3 linked regions of the Alligator mississippiensis genome follow. The protein of the gene in region 1 binds, or shares a complex with, the protein of each later gene. Links are inferred from orthologs where the notes say so. Each region holds a gene or a part of one and is shown in the gene's direction. Other genes may lie near its edges.

Region 1 (7,276 bases):
GTTCCTTGATGCTATTAAACTCATCGATACAGCAAAGACCTCCATCTGCAAGCACCAATGCTCCAGCTTCCAAATTCCATTCACCAGAGTCCTTTACAGCAGTCACTGTCAAACCTGAAAAAGAAATCAGTTTTCAGTCCTTCTTCAAAGTGAATTTGAATAAAAGCTTATTGGCTAGTGCTGGGCAGAGAGAATGCAAACAGCACAAACTCGTCACCCTACAGCTCTGCCAATAACACTTTAGGTATTGCAGACCCCTGGGCATGATATCCAGTTATTATAGTCCATGTGTTCCTGGGTCTGTTGGGCAAATTCTGTCAAGCAGGGCACATTTTGTACTTGTGTTTTTATGATAAGAAAGAAAGGTACAAAATGTGATTAAAGGTGATCCAACTAAATTTGTTAAATTGATTTTAGGTGCAAACCTGAACTGTCAGCAAAGTTATACCATGGATACATGCAACCCACCATCAACTTTTAAAAACACAGTGGAACATAAAAAGGCTATACAACAAATATTAGAAAATTAAAATGTTTTTAAATGTCATTTGAGAGAGATTCATTCATGAGTTCAGGAAGCAGGAAATGGAACTGATAAGCTCTGTCAACATTATATTTTGATTAGGGGGGCAAGAGAGTTTCTTTTTGAGATATTAGGTTCATTTGAACATTAAACTCAAATGGAAACTGGAGGGATGGAAATCAAACTCATTCCCAGCAGGCATATGGAAATGGAAACTGTATGTAACACAGCTCTAATTAACCTTCACAGAACTGACAGCATGAAGAGTATGAAATGACACCTTATGTATATTTTTTTTTTTTTTTATCAAGACTGCTAAACGTTTATTGTTTTCTAGCTAATAAGTTTTTTCTTTAATACACTACTCAGTATCTAAAAGTGGGGTCAACCTTGGGACAAAGTTAATAGTACATATTTATGTAATATAAGGATATCTGGATTTCAGCGATAGCAATTAGAACTGCTTTCCCCTCTCAAACATCTGCAGCTCTCCTCCACTCCTCACATCTTCTTCACAACTTTTATCTCTTTTCTTCATTTTTGGGCCTTTTCTCCCTCCCCACAAATTCTCTCTCTACTCCACTACAGTTTGGCTCACAAATGGCTCAATAATCCACACCCCATGACTCTAATCAACCTGAAGCTCTTTAGGGGCGTCAGGGATACAAACAGGGTGTTTGTGCCCGAAAGCTTGCAAGGAACAATTTTTCCAACTATTTAGTTTGTCTAATAGAAGATATCAGATTTACCCAAAGAACCTTGTCTGCCTATGCCCTTAGGCCAACATGGCTACAACGAACAACCTTAAGGACATGACAATGGGTCCAAATACTTTAACAGAGCTCTGACGCTGGAAGTCACAGCCTACGGCTGGAACATAGTTTCTGCCAGTGAAGTTGTGTCCCCAAACAAGCAGTGAAGAGGCACTGAGCATGGATATCTCTCAATAACGCACTGCATATTATTGGGAGGTTCATTATGAAGAATGTCTTTCACATCGTCCTATCTTCCCTGATTCTCTTGGATTTTCATATGTAGGAGCAACTTAAGCAGTCTACCACCCTGCTGGTTTAAACAAGGTAGACAGGTATAGAAAGCAGTGGGTGCATCTACATGTGCCATGAGCATGTAGCAAACTCCAGTGCAGTATGCACCAGAGTTTAATGCACCTGGGCGCAGTGTTTACATGTGCACCCAGGGATGCAGTATGCTGAGCCAGGGGTGGAAGAGCCCTGGCTGGCATGGCTTGGGGGGGGTAGGGGGGGTCAGCCTGCCAGCTTGGAGCTGCTCTGACCTTGCTCAACCTGTTGTGGAAGGGCTGGCTGGGGCGTGAGGGAGCTGCAGTGTGGGGGTTAGCTGGCAGGCAGCCCCTGTGCTGTAGCATCCTTGTGCCCCAGACAGCCCTGGTCACCATCTATACATGCATTTTGGCGCATGTAACTACTCCACTGTAAGATAGTACTTGTCCTAGACAGTACTATTCTACGGTGGAGTTAATTAATTTACTGTACCCTAATCAGGGTATATATGTAGACGTTTTACTATGGAGTTAATTAGTCAGCTCCACAGTAAAGCGCACACGTAGATGCACTCAGCAGTGATCCCTGATTGTGTGTATACGACAAAAGAACTTCCCTGTAAAGTAGAGATCAAGATTGCCCACTCCCTTGGAAAGACTTCTAGGAAGGAACCAACCAAGAGGAAATCTTGATATGATCTTGGGGACCAACTCAAGTCCAAGGACCTCAGCATAGAGCTCCTGTGCTCTTCACTGAACTCCAGTCCTCCAAACCCCTCCCTGGCCTCCTTGCCAGCATGGCTCAGCCTTTCAATGCAAACAGTTGGCCTACACAGTCTACTGTACTCAAGGGCTCAACTCGGAAATTAACAGTCTGAACCTGTATTTACTTCAGCAGTTTTTCCCCTCTGGAGTTGGGGAAAACAACTGGCAATCCCCCCACCCCGTGTCATATTCTGCCCCTCTAGCTACCGGATCCCTGACCCTGCAGGAGACAAGGACACCCACTGGTTGAGTTGCTATTCCATCCTCCATGTGCAATGGTGTGAGATTTTCATGAGGGAAGGGCCCTCTTGGTGCGGGCCTCCAAGGACAGGGCAAAGCCTCTGTATATCACTTTCCAATTTAGGATCTTGCCTCAAAGCATTCTGATTTCTTCTTTCACATTTAAACATATGGATCTGTGAAACTTGTAACAAGCTGCACGGCTCTCCAATTGGGCTTGTCAGCCACAAACAGATTTATCAGGCATCTGACAAGACCTCTTACATGTACACCAGGATCCAGAGAATCAACCATTGCCTACTATGTATGCAATATGTTCATGTAAACATAGGACAGTAGTGAGCTACAGACAACTGAAACTGATTTTTTTTGGCAGAACCTGTTTATGCGACAGTCGTCCTAAAGCCGAGGTCTCTTTGACTACCTAAATGGTAAGTCAAACCATCTAAAACACAGGCTTCTCCAGGCCCAAAAAGAGCTGCTTGGGCTGACCCTGAGCCAATAGGGAGTTCCTGCAGAGTCATGACCCACAGTAGCTATTTCTCCATACCCTCAAAATCCAAACCCTAATAGTACCTCTCTTAGTGAAATCCCCATTTGGAGAGAACACCCTCAGACCCAATATGAACATGAACTTGCAGCCCTTCCTCTGATTGGTAGCCACCAGTCAAGGGAAGAGCCCCATTGACTTCAAAAGATCTGAGCAAGCAAGTGCAGCACTTGCAAAAGGGTTGCAGGTTTGGCTCCTTACGTTCTGGGGGTCCCAGAGATGCTCCATGGTACCTAAAGGGTCAGCACAAACATTTGATCACAAGAGAAGAATTGCTGCTTATGTGTCTGTTTCCCTCAGTGAAAATAAAAAGTTATTTTCAACATCCAGCCACATTATACAGGTATAAAAATTATATAATACGTATATTAAATGTATATAGTTATATACAGGCAACCCCCACTTAACTCTCTTTGGCTTAGCGCTATTTCTCTATAACGCTCATTTAAAATTGATACCCTATTCCACTTGGCGCTCAGCGAGTTTTGTTACAACGCTCAAGGTCACCATCTTGGGTCATTAAAAACAATTGTGGTTGCCATCTTGGGTTGTCAAATACTTTTGGTTTCACTTAATGCTGGGTTTTTCAGGAACCATATAGGGTGCTAAGTGGGGGCTGCCCGTATACATGCATAGAAATGATATAAAATGCATATTTGTATCTACTCTCTTTCTCCCCACCTCTCCCTCCCCCTCTCCATCTCTCCCCATTTCTTCCCCCTTCCAACTCTTTCCCCATTCTTTTTCCCCCCTTCAATGTCTCTCTCTCTCCATCTTCTATACACAGACAAGAAGAAGAAGAAAGGAAAACAACCCTGCCTTTGGAAAAGGGACAGAGCTGGAAACGAAGCCGCCGGACAAGCCAAGCCGCGAAGAGACCCGACAGCGGCGTCAGCCACGCTGTGGGGCCGGCTCCTCCCTGCGCGCCTGTTCCGCGGGGCTCCGGCAGAGGGAGACGCGGCCAGTCGCGGCGCCGCGCGCTGCCGCGCAGCCTGTCTTGACCGTGCGGAGCGGGCGGGGCGGGGCGCGGGGGGCGGGGCTCGGGCCCGCGGGCCAATCGGCGCCGGCGCTGTCCCTTAAGCGAGGAGAATGGGGCGGCGCGGAACGGACTAGCGAGGCGGCGGCGCGCTGCGGGCGCGGGGAAGGCAGGCGGGCCGGCGGACAGGGGGCGGGGGAGCGGAGAGGAAAGAAAAGAAAAGAAAAGAAGGAAAGAAAGAGACGACAAGAAAGTTGCGGGCGGGGGGAGCGCGCGGGGGCCCGAGGCCGGGCGCAGCCCATTGTGCAGACCATGGCCAAGGTGCAGGTGAACAACGTGGTGGTGCTGGACAACCCCTCGCCCTTCTACAACCCCTTTCAGTTCGAGATCACCTTCGAGTGTATCGAGGACCTGTCGGAAGGTGAGGCCGCCCGCACCCGGCGAGCAGTGGGGCAGGGTGGAACCGGGCGGCCCGGCTCGGGGGCAAGTTGCGAGGAAGTTGTGCGAGTGGCGGGAGCCATGTTGCCAGCTTTGTGCGCGCCGGCGCCGGCGCATCGGGGCCGGGAGGCGGGCTGCGAGCGGGGTCGGGAGCTGCCGGGCTGAGGAGCGCGGGAAGCGGCGGGACCGAGCTGGGAGGAGCTGCCGCCTTCCCTTCCCCTCTCCGGGCCGCGCTCCCCAGCCCCGCGTGGTGGAGCGGCGCTAGCCGCAGCCCCTGCTCCCGCGGCGGCCTACGGCCCCCCGAGCCGCCCGGCCTCCGCTTTGCCCGCAGGCCGGCCAGGCTCTGTGGGGAGAGGGGGTGTCTTGCACCAAATAGTTGGGGGAACTGCTTTTCGGGGCACCAGCACCCTTTTTCAGGGGCAGGGAGAGAGCGCTCTGCCTGCTCCTGGATGGAGCAGGAGCCGACATACAAAGCCTGTGCCTGAAGAAGGGCGTTAGTTGGAAAAAATGTTTTTCAAGGCACCAGTGCCCTCGCACGCTTTGTATGTCGGCTCCCGCTCCCTCCAGGAGCAGGTAGAGCGCTCTCCCCATGCCTGAAGAACACTGGTGCCTGGAAAAACACTTTTTCCAACTAACGCCCTTCTTCAGGCACATGCTTTATATATTGGTGCCTAGAGAAGGCAAAACACTCTCCCTGCACCTGAAGAAGTGTGTTGGTGCCCCCAAAAACATTTTGTGATAGACTAACTAAATAGTTGGAAAAAACTGTCACCTTTACCCAAAGACGCTCAAGTCAGAAGGCACGTGGTGCTAGACTGGCTGCCAGTGGGCAAGTGGGAAGAAGGCCCTGCCAGGCCTGGGGGAACGGGGCCACTCTCAGTGCTGTCTCTGGAGGACGTCCTCCCTGGGGCAGTGCTGGGACAGGCTGGCAGAGGCTGCTCCCCCAGCCTCTCTCTAGTGATTCTTAACTGTTTCAGATGGGGGGGGGTGTGCTAACCTGGGGGATGCCAGTGCAGTCACACAGGCAATGGGGGGAGGCTAACCTGAGGCACCTCATCACCTGTGTGACTGGACTGGCACCCCCCAGCAACGACTGCCGGGCCTTGCTTACTTCCTTGCAGGGAGGAGCCTGAACCTGCACTCCTCTTGCACCTCAGGCACCCTTTAAAGGATCTCACATCCTCAGGGTACCAACCTCCTGGTTGAGAAACACTGTCTTGGTTTAAACAAGGTTTGGCCCAAGCCCCTGTGGATGTGGCAGCTGGTGCACCAGTGCCACAGCCTGTTTTTAAAGTCTGGGAGCACTAGCAGACAGGGCATATTACCTGGACCTGTGTGCCTAGGACTTCTGCCCCTCCTCTCCTGCTCTTGTGTATTTAGCTCATATTCATTACTAATGGATTTGCGTATTGAAGCAAGGATGGTTGGCATCTCAATGAGCCAAAATTTAAAACTGCCTGCTTGCTTACTTAGCAATATTAGGCTCCTGTTTTCAACTAGGAATGAAAAGCACACTACCGTTTTTCACATCCCTGCCTATTACAAGTACAGATTTTTTACTTTTGATTTTGATTTTTTTTTATACAGGTCGTTAAAGTTACAGAAAATACTAATACATGTAGTGAAGGAAGTTGCTGTTGCCTTATTTTTAATTACTACTATCCAAATACTACAGGACCTGCTGCTCGCCCCCCCACTCCCTGCACCATGTTTAAAGGGCTCGATTCGGGCAGGGAGCCCCTTCTTGGCCAAGTGGGGGGAGTTCCTGGTCCCAGGGAGGGAACCCAGGCATCCCCAGCATGTGCTGCCCCCACCCCTACAGCTCAGCCCATGTTATTTCAGTGAGTTTATACTAGAGTTATCTGCAATTCTGATTTTTTTTCAATGGATCAGGGGGCCCCCCAAAATTGTGGGCGGGCCCTGATCAATTTTTCTCTCCAAATGTTATTTAATTTTTAAATGGAGTCCATTCAGTTATGCCAGTTTAAGATTCCTTGCATCCATCAATACCTTTTTAAATGGTTTTAACTGAAAAGTTTTATGCTTTAAAATGTACCACTTAAAAAAAAAAAAAAAAAAAAGTTGCAAAACAAGTTGTGGTTTGTAGATAATATAAGCTATCAGTCCACAATTAATTTTATACTGGCTTAATAACTTATAATAAATGTGTTCGAGAGAATCTTAGCCTTTGCTGTCCTCTCCTCATAAGACTTAAGGCGCTGTCCTCAATAGGACAGCCAGACTGGGTCAGGTCACTAGACATTTTTGTCTGGTGACTTGTCTTTGCAGTAACCCAAACCAGATGCTTCAAAGGTAGGCAAAAACAACCTAGTTTGGCACACTAAGCTGGAAGAAAAATTATGTCACCTTAAAAGATAAATATACATACAGAAGGGCTATAGTAATGAGGACAAGTAATAGAGCAGATGAGTTTTGTAAAGTAGTTGGAAGCTCTTTTTTCTTTAGGTTCTAGCTGTGCTGAAAAAGTTCCAGCATAGCCCCTTCCTTGCACCTGTGCAGAATGCTGTTGAAGGTAACAGCTGGGGTTCACCCACCCTACTTGCTGCTTATGCACAATCTTCAGTGCATTATTCGGTACTGAAAGATAATACAAAAATATTACTTTTTTTTTTAAAGGCTATCTTGAAATTGCTCCATCAGTTTCATGTATGTCATGAAATAATCACCAATGTTATCTTTCAGTTAGACTTGCTCATAATAACAACTAGAGGCATTTTTACACATGCGCACACCACAGTGCCAGCC
Region 2 (7,040 bases), on another chromosome or scaffold:
GGAGCGTTACTGAATAGCAAATTGCTTTCCCCTTGCCCTCTTTTTGTAAAATAGTAGGTGGAAGAAATGGCAGCCAGAGAATTTGGATGTGATATATTCCTGCTACTTATATTTTTCCAGCTGTTTTGTTCATGTCTTGGGTGATGTGGTTTTTCTTCAGTAATACTGGAGATTCAGCCCTGCTTGAATCAAAGTGTTTGTGAGTACGATCAGACCCTGTCAGGATGCTTGCACAGGCTAGAAGGCGAGATCTGCCTAATGCTCACCTTGAATTCTTTTCATAGGCTTTAATTTGTGGATGCTGCTTGGAACTCTCTTAAAGAAGAGTCTTTGCATTACTCCTCCTTATTGTTGGCACCCTTAGCAGCATTTAACTTAAAAGGACTTTGTTGGCCTGCAGTTATAACAGGCCATTTCCCTAAACCGCAGAACATTCAGAACTGACTGCAAAAATACTACCTTCTTACTCCACAGATCCTTGTGCTCCATCAGGCAGGAGAAACAGAGTTGGATTCAAGTCCCTCTGTGTATCATCTGTGTTTGCTAATTTCCAGTTACAGGATCCATTCCTTTTTGCTTATGCAAAGTAACACTGTAGGCACAATTAGACCTGCAGAACTCGCTTGTATTGGTGATACCTGAGAAGAAAAAGAGCCTAACTGATATTTCAAATCATAGCATACAGCCACAGGATGAGAGAGATTACAGAGTTATTTTTGTTTTCCATTGGGACATTACAAAAATAAACAATGTACCTTTGCTCTTTTTACAGTCACTTTTTAAAGTAGGCCCATACTAACTAGAATATTTCCTGTTACATGGCTGTGGTTTTTCTTATTTTAATACTCAACCAAATGAAGTCATCCATTAATTTTGCTTTTTCCATCAGGATAAATAACTCACAGTTCTCCTCTGCTTCTATTTGACTTCAAGGGTCCTCCAAGCCTCATGCACAGGTACAGGATATGGTATTCCTAAACCATTTCAGACAGATACGAGTTAGCATTTAGGAGTTCCTTTCTCTTTAGACTCCCCCTGGGGATATAGTTAAGAGAATGGAAGATCTTTAGATAAATCCTTAGGAAGAAGGAAGGCTTCTTCAAGAGCCAGGAGAGAGGCTTGGCTCTGCTGAACCCTAACACCCTTTGCAGCACATCTACACTTAGTTCTGGATAGCGCAGAACATCAGTTAGGGCTGCCCCTTTGTCATCTCAAATGTTACGGCACTTGGTCCCAGCTTGGATTTACTGAAGACAGAGATTGATGATAACCTGTAATTGCAAGTATTGCTTCATAGTGTGAAAAAGTTTCATTCATTATATTTGATACACTTTTCCTCAAGATATCTGACAAATAACTGCCTTCACTTTTATTTCATTAAAGCAAAATGCTTCTGCAGGGAAAGTGTATTTGAGGAGCTGTACTGAACAGTGACCAGATGGAGCAATGCTAGATGAATGATAAGTAGCAGGATGAGGGATCAGTGGTCTAATTCTATGCCATCCCCAGAGCAGGTAAAGCTGCCAAACCCCTTGTGATGCTTTGCACAGCCTAGGTTTAAGAAATTAGAAACACATCCAGTAGTTAGAAACAGCAGATACTAAATTTAAAGTCAGTTATTTTTGCAGTTGGATTTAAAGAACAAGCAAACAACTACACAGCAACTTGTATAACAGATTACACTCCTGCTATTCAGTAACTGCTCTTACCTTTCACCCTACTTCATCATGCCTTTTATTTTCAAAAGGTCACATTGAGTGAAAGAGGATACAGACAAGTGTCTTGGTCAAAATAATTTTGATTTTTTTTTTTTTTAAAGTGGAAGATGGTGAAGAGAACAGCAGACAGACAGTAATCAACTGCAACACTTAAGAGTTAAGAAATGGGAGACTTGTAGTTAGTGTTTAATGCCACCTACTGTAAAACTTTTCCCACTGGGAAAAAAAAAAAGAGTGGGAGGCAAGTCCAGTTTGCTCCATCAGGCTGGAGCAGAACATAAAACAGCACCTCTAACACCACAGTCACTATTACATGTATTCAAGTTTTACACATCTGCAAAACAGAAATAGTAGCAGCCATTGGGATGTTCTTTCTTAATGGTTCTCAAAGGGGGTCTGGGAAACTCGGAAGGGCCTGGCTCTTGAGACATAGAGCTGGAACTGCAGCTGCTGCTTCTGCTGCTGCTTCCAGCCACCTGTGCTCTGCCCCTGTCCTCAGCTGGGGATATCTGGGGAGATGCAGGGCTCAGGTACCCAGCTGTGGTCTGAGTGGAGACAGTGGCATAGGTGGTTGGGCCCGTGTTGTTTTTCACGTAGACATTTTTTATAGCCACCAACGTGTGCGCCATGATGCTGAGGCTATTGCTGAGATCTTGTATGCCTTGCTGCAGCAGCCGAAGATTGTGGTTAACATTGTCAAAGCCAGACTGGATCACCTGCATCTGGGTCTGCTGCATCTGTATTAGGTCCTCTTCAGTAATTTCATTTTGGTCTGTCTGGGATCGGCCTTTTGTTTTAGCTTTTCCTTTCCCAGAGGAGCTGCCAGAAGATGACCCCAGAAAAGATAGTTGTTCCTGGCTGGGTGGAACCACAGCCATGTCCTCCAAGCTTTCCTCTGGCTCCACTACCTTCACTACTATTTCTTCTTTTAGGTTCATCTTGTCAAGACTGGATTGGTGAGATGGTCCGGGGTCCTCAGCAAACCCTAAGGACATGGCAGATGGGGAGGAGAGGGAGAGAGAAGTCATTAGATATCCTTGCTTCCACAATCAATTGTGCTTCTACCAGCCCAGCAAACCCTTATACCAAACCTTGAGCCAGGGTCATTTATTTGTAAGGGGACCCACACTTGTGCTTCCAAGGTGCTATGATGAAGAGGACTCCTTGCTTTTAGCACAGGGACTCTCTCCAGGCTGGGTGAGGAATTAAACATGCTCACAGGCCAACTTTGGCACAGGTCTCAGGCTGGGATCCCTTCTCTGCCTGCCCCCCACCACCCCCCATGCAGAAATGAAGCTGGTGGAGAGCTCTGCTGTGACAAGGGTTAGGGGCTTATCTCCTCTGCTGCTTCCCGAAGTAAGCCCTCACCCTGCGGCCCACCGCCTGGCCCAGACGGGCTCGGGCCCTTCCCGCAGGCGCCTGCTGGTCCGGGAGAAGGGGGGTGAGGCAGCACCGACAGTCCCTCAGGGGCCCGAGCGCCGGCCGGCTGCAGCCCCCTCCCGCCGGGGACTCACCGAGGTCCAGCACGGAGGCGCCGGGCAGGTCCAGCGTATCGATGCCGCCCACGATGGGCACGGCCTCGGCGGCAGCGCCGGACAGCAGCGAGGCGTAGACGCGGGGCGCGGGCGGGTGCTCGGGCGGCGCAGGCGGCGGGCAGTCGTCGGGGTCGAGCAGCAGGCCGAGGCCAAGGCCGAGGCCGAGCCCGAGGCCGGGCGGCGGCGGCGCGGGCGGCGGGAGGCGGCACAGCTTGCTGCGGTCGCGGCGCTTCAGGTCCCGCCAGCGCTTCTTGAGGTCCTCGACGGCGCGCGGGCAGGCGGCCACGGGGTTCACCTTGTGCCGGATCAGCTCCCACACGCGCCGCTTCTGGCCCGGCGACGCTCGGCCTGGCCCGGCCGCGAACAGCAGCTGCTCGTGCTTCAGCACCTGCTCGATCAGCACCTCCGTCTCCGCCTCGTTGAAATTCGCCTTGCGCCGCTTCGGCGAGTCCTCTGCCATCCTCCGCCCGCCGGCCCCGGCCCCGGGCCCGGCCCCCGCGCGGGAAGCAAAGACCGCGCATGAGAGGAAAAGACGCGCGAGCGCCGCGCACGCGCCCCGCGCCCCGCGTGTTGACATGGGGGGGGGCGCAGGCCCCGCCCCTGGGCCAGGGCTGCGGCCGCGCGCCGTGACCCCGCCCCCGCTACTTGGCGCCCGGCGCTGCAGGCCCCGCCCCCTCCCGGCGTCCTCCCGCGCGGTCCCGCCCCGCCACTCCCCTTCCCTCCCGCTGGCGCGTGTCCCCGCGCCCCGCGCTCGCCCGCTCTGCCCCGCCCCGCCCCCCCGGGAATGGCGGCCGCGCTGGAGCTAGTGCTGCGAGAGGAGGTGGCGCCCGGCGCCCTGGTGCACTGGCTCAAGCACGACCCCGGGCGCCGCTCGGCCGAGGTACCGCGGGTCCCGGGGAGGGGGCGCCGGCCCCGGCCCCGCCCAGGAGTCCCCCTGCTGCCCAAGGCCGCGCCGCGAGCCTGAGTCCACCCCCGGCGGGGCAGGGCCAGGCTGGGCTGTGGGGAGACGGCGCCCGCCCCGCCACTGCGTTGACACTTCCCGTGAGGCGGGAGGCCGTCTCGGCCCGCTGGGCTTGTGGGGGGAGGGAAGGGGCGGCCCCGCGGGCCCGGGTCTGTCTCCCCCTCCCGCCTCCCTTCACACGAAGCCTGGCCAGGGATTGTAGCCGCCTGCTGCGAGTGTGGGGCCCAGCGCCAGCTTCGTGGGAGTTGGGGAGTTACAGTCCTTGCCGCTCCACAGCAATTCACAGCTGCAGTTTGGGGGTCAATGGTGGCGGCTTGGTTGTCAGCGCTGGCGCCCAGCGGGGTGTGTGGGTGCGGGTGAGCTGTGCTTCAGTAACGTCTCCTATCAAACGGGCGGTTGTACCTCTTGGTAGCAGCTCAGACTGTCTCCCTTATTATGTAATGTAGATGAGGTGTATCCCCAGCTTCATGGGTCTTGATGACTGGAAGAGGCTGCTGCCTGACCCTTAAAAGTTGATCAGTTGTTCCTGTATCAAGCCCATTTAGCTGAGGGGGAAGCTGAGGAGCTGGAAGGGGTACTTGTTTTGCTCCAACCCACGTGGCAAGCTTGCATCTGAGCTAACAGAGCCCAGGTCTCCTGATTTTCCAGTCTTGTGCATTATTTCTCCGAAACATAACAGAAGAGCAGGGAGAGTGAGTTTGCCATGTTAGTCTGAAGTCAGGCAGAAGGTAGGGCACAGTGGGGCACCTTAGTTACAGGCTCACTTCTGCCAGTAGGACAGTGGAGAGAATAAGTGGCTTTTTAAAAAATCTGAGATGAGTCTTAAGTTTGGTGTAGTTGGCAACTGAAGTTTGTTTCTGCTCTCAAACGGTCCTTCCTTACCCCCACGATCCGTGCCCCTGCCAGAACAAATACGTCCAGCAAAGGAAGATTGTGATTCCTCCACCTTTTTTCCTAAGAAAGCTTTCCTTAAATACAGACCCTCTGCTCTCCTCTGAATATGTTGCTTTCTGTTTCACATGGGGAAGGATCACAAAGCTTTTCCCTTTTGAATAGGATCTAAGGGGAGAGTGCGAGTACAGTTGCTCTGCCATTAGTAAGAATATGAATGGCTGCCCCACAAAGTTCCAGCATTTTTGTTACAAACTTTGCCTACTTCTTTTGTGAGGAAAACAAATGTTATCTACTGAAAGACCAGCAGAACCTTTGTCCGTCGTTGCATGAAACAATTTAGGTTATGTTTTAGTGATATATAACAAACATTTTCCTGGCACTATTCTTAGATAATTTACAGGTGTTATGCTTTTAAGTTAAAGTTTAAAAGATGTTAAAGTTACATTTTTATTTAGTTTTCTTGATTGCAAGCTTTCTGCATCACAAACCTTATAGCAATCTGTATTTTCACTTCTGTGGTTAGTATGATTCCACTGAAATATAATCATGTAAATTTATGTATCGGACAGAGTAGAATCTCAGATTGGTGTACAAATGTTCATTCTTACAGCACCCCTATGAGGAAGCAAGTGGTATTAGCAGAGCACTGGGGCACGAAAAATTACCAACCATATGCATTATGAATTAATTTTGGTTATCAGTGTCTAGTGCCTTACATAAGACACCTAAAAAAGGCCTTATTTCAAACTGCAGATCATCTGTAGTGCTCTTATGCTAATGGGGACATTTGAACAAAATAGGCCCTGCTGATCTGCAATAGGGCAGCCAGATAAACAAAAGCATCCACTCCATATCTGGCCCAAAGTGGACTGAGGACTAGCTGTCAGATCTGGGAAGAGAATCAAGAACTCATCAATCTCGGTGGCTTGCTCTGACTATTAAACACACTTCTTCAAGCTAAAAGTATTAAAAACCCCTAATTACTTTTAATTTATGCCAGCAATTTGAAAGAGAAAAAAAATGATAACCCCTAGTTTTGGATATCTTTCATTAATGCTTTGTCCTCTTTTCTTGCAGGAGAACCATATCCATGAAAAGCTGGTATCTCTTAGTTTGCCTCAGAAAGACTTTGTGCCTTTCTTCTTGAATTTTTTAAGGGAGCAAACCGGTCAGATCCTGACCAATGGGCCTTCCACCCCTGCAAAAACACCGAATTCCAAGGCCCTTGGAAACTCTGCTGGCCGTGGGAGCCAAAGGAGAGGCTCAGAAAGGAGGGCAGGAAACACAACAGGGTCAAGCAGCAGCCGAATGCAGCTCTTTACCCAAAAAGGCTCTGCTAACTCCTGTTCCCCAGATACCAGCTTTGCCCCTTCTGCTGTGTCAGGTGGCTCTCCTGCATTTACTGGATCAAACCTGTCTAGCCCCAGCAGTGATTTCCCTAGTGTGGTCTCCAGTGTGAGCCCAAGCTTTGGTTGCAGCCCTGTATTTAACCACAGTGAGAGGCGCTCAGCTCAGAAGGCCAACTTGGGGAACTTTTTTGTGGCCATGCCAGAAGTTCAGCCGACAAGGCGAGGCAGAAGAAAGGGCAACAGCTCCACCAGTACCTCTAGCCGGCAGGTGGCTCGGGATCTTGGACGATGTCTTGCTGATGAGGAGGATGGGAAGAGTGATAACACTTCATGGAGTGGAGGGAGGAAGAAGCGCAATGAAGTGTTGGGTGTCTCTGCCAGTTCCCCACCTGATCAGCTGAACCTCAACAACTTGGAGGAGTTCCCACCCATGTGCGCTTCTTCTGGCTTCACAAAGTAAGAGCATCATTATTAACTGCTGGTCTATTTAGAAAAATAGGACAGGCTGTTTTCTGGGAGAGCTGAGACTATTGTCATAAAAATTTGAATACAAAGGATGCCATATCTGAAAATCAGGCCTCCG
Region 3 (6,926 bases), on another chromosome or scaffold:
AGCTATCAAATACATTTTACATACATCATCAAAATAACCATCAAAACTTAGCACATATTTGCCACCTTGAATTCAAATTCAGGCCTCAACAATTTCTTGTGTCAAGGATTTTGCTGGCACCCAGAAAAGACCAGTGCAGGAGAACTACAATTGCTACTGAAGAAAACCAAAAGAGGCAGGAGCAATCTTTGGAAGAAATCATCTGGAAAGAAGGATGCTGTAGAAATACCCCTGCAGGGGAAAAAGGTGGTGGTAGAAGGGCTGACATACCCCCATGGATAAGGGTAGCCTCCATTTGATCCTATACTTCTGGCACACATCTCTAAAGTTCCTATTGCTGGAATATCCAGTCTTTATATAATAGAGAAAATGCTTAAACTGTCCAGTACCTCTCCCTCCTCTGCAAGTTTCCAGACAAGCTTCTCTTGAAGTTATAGAACTGGAAGTTACAACATCTATACAGCCAGGGGCGGAGGGAGGGAGGGTCTTCCATGGCATTCAAGACTGAAATGTTTAGTTTTGATCATTACAAAACACTTTATTTTGATTTTGGCCTTTATTTTTTTTAACTGTAATTCACTTAAATGTTTAAAAAGGGGGTTTTGAACCAAAAAAAGGGAAAATTTCATTTTGTATTTTGTTTCAAAAAAAGTAAAAATTGAAAAGTTTTCTTACAAAAGCTTTTTTTCAACAAATTGTCATTTTCCAATGAAAGAGCATTTAACTGAAACACTCCCAACCACCTCAATGCTTGATCCAGACCTGACAGATACACAAGTAGGTGCATGCCATAAGAATTCACCACCACCTGCCAACAACTACCACCAGGACCTTACCCAGGGATTCATATGCAAGTCATTGAACACGTCATTTCCCAAAATTTCACTCCCTGAAAGGATATTTCAAAGGAGCACCCCTGGATGGCAAGCTGCATCAAAGGGACACAGGTCACATGTGATCCACCAACCACGCTTTGGGAACCAGTGGACTAGAACATATCTTTCAGAAATACTCTGGTCCTGAACTTTGCTTAATGCTAGGGGGGCAGGATATTTGCTTTGCCTGCCCCTTGGGAAAAAGATCTGGAACTGAATGCCTTCAGGTCTTCAGTGACATTGCAGCCTGTGCATCTTACTCTTTCACCCATAGCTTCTTATGTTAAACAACCAATAGGAAGGAATCACGACATATGTGACTTCATAGCTGAAGGAAGAACAGTAAATGGAAGAAAAACAGTCTAAGGATCTCTCCAAAAGAAATGAACCATATTGATCATGTATACTCCTACTACTGGTTTGAAAGTTGCTGCTATACCAACTATATCCAATATACTGAAGGTCTGACTCTTGCTCATTGCTTCAGAACCACCAATCATCAGTTTAGTGTCTCTGAACTGTAGCCTAATCCAAAGACCGAATCATCGGGAACCAAAAGAATTGGAGATTCTTGGATGCTGCTAAAGGTGGGCTGCAATGGTTGCGGAAGCTTGTCCTTCCTCTTTCTATTCTTCCATGCTGAATTGAAGTGCATGTGTGATGTGAATATAACTGTACAATGTTAATTGCAGATGTCACTTGACTAATGTTCCTCTAAACCAGGGGTGTTAAACTCATTCTGAGCTCTGGGCTGACTCCGTGAGACAAACAGCTGCAACAGTGGTGGGCCAGGTGGTGGCTGTGGTTAGTCTGGTGGTGGTGATGGGGGTCCAGCAGTGGCAGTGAGAGGGCAGGGATCCAGCAGCAGGGGGAGATGGCAGTGGCCCAGCAGTGCTGTGTGGGGCCAAGTGTCAGCAGCAGGGCAAAGCAAGGCTGTATCAGCCTTGCCCCCCTGCTGCCAATGACCATGTTCCTGAATTCTGTGGCAGGCCAAACACCCTGGCCATACTCCCAACTTCCAGTAACTCAGCAGGCCAGATGGTACAGCTCTGCAGGTCAGATGCTTGACACCAACTTGACACCCTGCTCTAAACTGAGTATGGTCATTTGCTGCAATAATTTAGATGGTTTAAGAAATATTACAAGGTAAGGTTCTTTTTAAAAAGAGCTTTTAAAATAATTTTTGGAGAGCCCTGTCACTGTTTGTGGTCCTAAGGTGCATCTGCCTGAGGGAGCTGAAAGTTTGCTGTTACTTCCTCAGCCTGGATCTTCTGCTGAGAAATAGGTTACAGTACAGGAAGTGCAGTTTGTAAGAAACAGCAGATGCTTTCCAACTTGTTTGCAAGACCAGGTTAAAAATGGCTTGTACCTCTGTTAAGTTAACCATTGTTTTAAAACAAAACAGTTCACCTGTCCTTACAATGCTGCAAGCCTGTCTTTTCCCATGCATTCAGATGCACCATGTCATTGTCTGAGCCCTACTCTTCATCGGACTTGCCAAACTGGTAAACTCCTGGTTGACTGTAAAAATGTCTTTGATGTATTTGCAGTAAAACACATTTGACTTCAGTAACTCTCGTTTGACCTGCAGATGCACGAACTATAGAATCTCTCTGCTATTACAGTGCGGTTCTAGAAAGCCGCTCCTTTATCCAGAGCCCCAGCAACTTCCTTTCCAATGCCTAATCCATGCCTGCCTCCCTTTGGACAGGCCTGGCCACTTCCTTTCTGAACAAGCCTCAACTCCCCCCCCCCCCCCCCCCCCCCCCAGTTTGTTTGCTTTTCAGAAAGCTGATTCAGCCTTAAAGCAGAGCGTTGCAATGCCTTTCAATGGCGCTTTACACTCTGTCTGACAGTGCCCCCAGGGCTTGGAAGAAAGGGAAATAAGGACAAACTGCAAAGTAATCTACCCACAGTAACCAGTCTGAGCCCTTCTGTGAGAGTCTATCTAGCAAGAAGCAGCTGCAAAGAGCAAGGGCAAACTACAGTTAACACAAAGCCACTCCGTGTACCCAGCCTCTCTGTTACTTGTTCTATCCATATTTGATAAGGAAAGCTTGTCAGAATGACAGGCTGCACGATTTACAAGACACCAAATGGAGGTGCGGGGTACACTTGTTTGCTGGTGTCTCGTTTTTTCTCAGCTCCTCAGAGGCACAGTGATTGGGAGGTTGGGGATGCTCTGCGTGCAGAACTCTTCCCTTCAGGCCCCCTTGCTCCTGGCTGGGAGGGACATCATCTTCCCTTGGGGAGAGGAGGCTGTTTTTGCAAACAAGATGCCTTGTTGCCCAGGAAGAGGGAGAAATTCCCGGGGGGGGGGGTGAGGAAGAGAGAGGAATTTTCTCTTGAAACCACAGGAAGCTTGGGGGAAGCAAGGAAGGGGGATTGAGGCTCATCTCCCTGATGCATAAACTCCTGTCCTCAGTGCCCCAGGGAGCACCCCCTGGGGTGGGAGAGCAGGGCAATCCTGGTCTCCCCTGAGCCTTACCCCACCACTTGGCACCCTCCCACCAGTCCCTAAGTTCACTGGAGAGGGAAGAAGCTGGGGGGAGCTAGAAGCCCCCTCCCCGTTTTTTCTCAATGGGCACTGACCCCCCCCCCCATTTTAGCCCCTCCCTGCACCAAGCCTCTTCCCCCAGTGCACACTGGTGCTGCCCGCCCGGCCCGCCCCCCAGACCCCGCCCCCTCACCCCTGCGGGGCCTCCCCCACCCCAGGGTGACCTCCCCCGCCCCTCCCTCCCTGACCCCACTTGCCACAAGGGGCCCCGCCCCCTCCCCAGGCCTTGGCCCCTCCCCGCGCTGACCTCCCCCTCCCCATCGCTGGCCCCTCCCTCCACCCTCACTAGCCCCGCCCCGCGCTGACCTCCCCGCCCCTCCCCCCTCCTCCCGGCACTGACCTCCCCCCCGCCAGGCGTGCAAATCTCGCGAGAGTACACGCGCTTTCACTAGTGTCTTTGCACCAATCGATCCCTACCGGGCCGGGCCGAGCCGAGCCGGACGAGGGGGAGGGGGGCCGTGGACCCAGCTGCACCCAGCTCAGCCCAGCCCAGCCCCCACCCTCACCCTCACTCCCACTCCCACAGCGGGGCTGCCCGTGCCGGGCGGGGGCGCCCCGGGTCCCCGTGCCCCCCGCCCGGGCGCCGCCGCCGCCGCCTCCCTTGGGCCTTTGTCCTCCGAGGCCGCCCCCCACCCCCTCCCCGGCCCGCACGCCCCTCGGCCGGGCGCGGAGCTCACGCGAGGCCGGGGCTCCGCGGCCTGCCCCCGCCCCACGCGCGCCCTCCGCGGCGGGTGCCCGGCTCGGGAGAGGCCGCGGAGCCGCCCCGGCCTCCCCCGCCCGCCCGCCCGCCCGCGCCGCCGCCGCAGGAGCAGGAGCCAGGAGCAGCACGGCGGGTCCCTCCTGCGGCCCGCTGCGGATCCGGGCCGGGGCGGCCGCGCCAGGTGAGCGCCGGGAGCCGGCGGGCGCGAGTGCAAGCGGGAGCGGGGCAGGCCTGGGCCGCGGGCGGCGGTGTCAGCGCAGGCCCGAGGCCCGCCTGGCGCTGAGGCGGGGGGCGAGCGGCCGCCGGGCCTGCGGGTGGAGGCGGCGACGGCGGCGGGTGAGTGGGAGGAGGCGGCCTGCGGCTGCGGGCTCGGCGGCGGCCGGGGCAGGGCAGGGCAGGGCGGCGATCGCCCCCCGGACCTCGCCGGGGAGGCCGGCCCGGGACCCCGCCCGCCGGCCTCTCCTCCGAGGTGCTGCGAGCTGGCGCTGCCTCCAGCGCACAGGCCTCGCCCAGCCCCTCGGCCGGTCGGGTCCGGGGAGCGCAGGGCCGGGGATGCCCCCCGCCCTGGCTCGCCTTGCAGGTGGTCCCGGGCGGCCTCTCTAGTCCCCGCTCTTGCTGGGGGATCACCCAGGATTTCTGTGCATCACTATAGCAGGAGGCTTGATCAAAAATGTGGGGTGGGGCAGGGGGCGCTTCTGCCCCCCCTCCCCCAGGGTCTGTCTGGCTTGCTGATGGAAAGGTACCGTTTGAAAGCTTTATTAAACAGGTGCTTATAAATAGGTCCCTCTATTCATCAAATTTAGCAGCTTATTGAGCTTGGGGTTGTGGTGTTTTTCATGGCTGGGCGTGTTCTCGTAAAGGGCCCCAGTTGGATTCGCCCAGGACCTTGTTGTCACTTCGGTCTGCAGCGTTTGGAGGAAACAAGGGATTGTGGGGACAAAATGGACAGCAAGCAGAAAAGGAGCAGTTGCACAGTGCCTGTTCCAGAGGGCACCTGCTGCCCTTCAGGAACTTTCCTTCTCGGGTATGCTCATCGTATAGCAAACCTGTGTATTTATCTCTTTCTCGTTCGCAGCCCTGGAAATGAAACTGGAAAAGACGTTTCTGGAAATGACGGGCTTGCTCCGAGGGCAGTTGGGAAGATGTGATTCACAATTCTAAAGAACTTTGACATTTCTCCCTCGTTTCACTTTAATACTGAATGTGTCCATTTTGGAAATTAGCCCAAGCTACAGAGGAATGTTTTCTTAAATGCTTTGTATAATGACACCAATGTCAGTGATCACCTGGAGGTACCCAGGTACTTCCAGTAGGCAAATTCCTCTGATGTAGCTAAAAGTGCCTGGGTGTTTGGAATGTTGCAGGCTAAAAGGAGAAGTTTAAACGCGCGTCAGTGCCTTCCTCCCCATCGCTTTCCTGCTTGGAAGAACTCAGGATGTGTGTTCTAGGTTCTTGCCACAAGAATGCATTGTTTGGGGAAATCTAGTGCTTCAGGAAGTGGTCAGATATAGAGAACTGGGGTGTGAAAAGGCTTTTTACACTGTACAGAAGAGATGGAAATGTCAAAGCCCCAAGCCCTCTTTCTAATAAAGCATCCAGTAGGAAAATACAGAAACATTTTGTAACTCGGATTAAGAGATCTTGAAATAACTATTGACGCTGTTAAAAATGAAGCTCCAGAATGACCAGTTAAACAAATAAATAAATAAATAAAACAACAACCATCTGGGGCAAATCATCTTACTTCAAGTTATGTTGTACTGAATTGTCATACAGCTATTACCCTTCAGCTTCATCAGAACATACATTCTTTTCCTCACACCTGCATTTCATAAACTTACAGTGCATCTCTCTCTCCCTTTTAGCAGCAGAAATGATGGAAGAGTTGCATAGCCTGGACCCACGACGGCAGGAACTGTTAGAGGCCAGGTTCACTGGAGTAGGTGTTGCCAAGGTGAGTACAGATACCCACAGCAACAGGCACAAAGTTTGGTCCATTTTTCACATTACGTATTTTTTTAGTTGCGTGGATTCAATAGCAGAAAGATTCTTATTGATAGCTGAGCTTTGTCCACTTACATTTCTTAAAGTATGTGTAACAGGATGCATAGAAACAGAAAAAGTGAGAAATGTTTGCTTCTACACATAGAGGCTTCATGGTAAGAAACCTAGGTTTGTAATTAAGAGGTTCCTTTTTTAAAGGACTGTTACCATCTTATTGGCATTTTATAGTTAAAATAAAAAGTTCAACACAACAGCTTATTCTGGAAATGAGAATCCAATTAATCTTTTTCCTTTCTCAAGTTTGGGGACATAATTTGAGTATTTTAGGTAGACACACTTTTAAACCCATGTGTAATCCAGCATGTAACTGGGTTTTTAGGACCACTGGGAACTTGTCTGTTTAGAACTTTGTGAGCAGCTTCCTGCAATTGTGTGAGCTCAGTTAAATTCATTAAAACTTCTATTTATTCAGAGGTAAGCTTGCCTGATTCTGCGATCCACAACTCGATAGTGAAATCCTAGGTTTGTTCTCGTATAAAACTTTGTACCTGATCAAGAGTTGCCTCTATTGACTAAACCATTCAGTAATAAATTGCATAATTGTGACCCTTCTGTTGAAAATTTCAGGGCAAGCTGTTGGTCTCAGAAGGTGGTAGTGCGGTAGGTTCATTAATAGGGCCCCTTGCCTCCAGTAATTCTGGTTTTTGAGATGACAACAGAATGAAGCTAATGTTGCAGTGGACTCCTAATATAATAAATACATAAATACAAATACTTGGTTTAGATTTTA

The links.
Region 2: the proteins of ASF1A (region 1) and CDAN1 are in contact, whole or in part, in a cryo-EM structure (PDB 9CVC), measured with the Homo sapiens proteins. The link is inferred for Alligator mississippiensis from reciprocal best matches to the Homo sapiens genes ASF1A and CDAN1. Residues at the interface, in NP_054753.1 of Homo sapiens: Gln5, Val6, Asn7, Asn8, Val9, Val10, Val11, Leu12, Asp13, Pro15, Asn20, Pro21, Phe28, Asp37, Val45, Ser47, Ala48, Glu49, Ser50, Glu51, Glu52, Asp54, Asp58, Ser59, Val60, Leu61, Val62, Gly63, Pro64, Val65; in NP_612486.2 of Homo sapiens: Arg195, Arg196, Ile197, Asn198, Thr200, Val202, Lys390, Leu391, His470, Glu471, Glu472, Pro473, Gly474, Trp475, Asp476, Lys538, Arg541, Arg544, Leu545, Gln546, Arg548, Leu549, Met550, Ala551, Pro552, Gln553, Ser554, Ser555, Arg806, Lys807.
Region 3: the proteins of ASF1A (region 1) and TLK2 are in contact, whole or in part, in a crystal structure (PDB 7LO0), measured with the Homo sapiens proteins. The link is inferred for Alligator mississippiensis from reciprocal best matches to the Homo sapiens genes ASF1A and TLK2. Residues at the interface, in NP_054753.1 of Homo sapiens: Val45, Ala48, Glu49, Glu51, Asp54, Asp88, Val92, Thr93, Val94, Leu96, Arg108, Gly110, Tyr111, Tyr112, Arg145, Thr147, Phe149; in NP_001271262.1 of Homo sapiens: Arg11, Arg12, Gln13, Leu15, Leu16, Glu17, Arg19, Phe20, Thr21, Gly22, Val23.

Annotation. Positions count from the first base shown.
Region 1 is NC_081824.1:103,478,032-103,485,307, forward strand, and holds the start of ASF1A (histone chaperone ASF1A), read left to right. Parts: upstream 1-4,241; 5' UTR 4,242-4,384; coding exon 4,385-4,493; intron 4,494-7,276. Other genes in the region: DNA helicase MCM9, read right to left, coding at 1-114. UniProt on the Homo sapiens protein: Histone chaperone that facilitates histone deposition and histone exchange and removal during nucleosome assembly and disassembly.
Region 2 is NC_081825.1:237,163,167-237,170,206, forward strand, and holds the start of CDAN1 (codanin-1), read left to right. Parts: upstream 1-3,980; 5' UTR 3,981-4,037; coding exon 4,038-4,133; intron 4,134-6,185; coding exon 6,186-6,913; intron 6,914-7,040. Other genes in the region: t-SNARE domain-containing protein 1, read right to left, coding at 2,045-2,703, 3,233-3,830. UniProt on the Homo sapiens protein: May act as a negative regulator of ASF1 in chromatin assembly.
Region 3 is NC_081827.1:156,834,535-156,841,460, forward strand, and holds the start of TLK2 (serine/threonine-protein kinase tousled-like 2), read left to right. Parts: upstream 1-3,824; 5' UTR 3,825-4,313; intron 4,314-4,681; exon of another isoform or gene 4,682-4,871; intron 4,872-5,997; exon of another isoform or gene 5,998-6,000; 5' UTR 6,001-6,005; coding exon 6,006-6,086; intron 6,087-6,926. UniProt on the Homo sapiens protein: Serine/threonine-protein kinase involved in the process of chromatin assembly and probably also DNA replication, transcription, repair, and chromosome segregation. Phosphorylates the chromatin assembly factors ASF1A and ASF1B.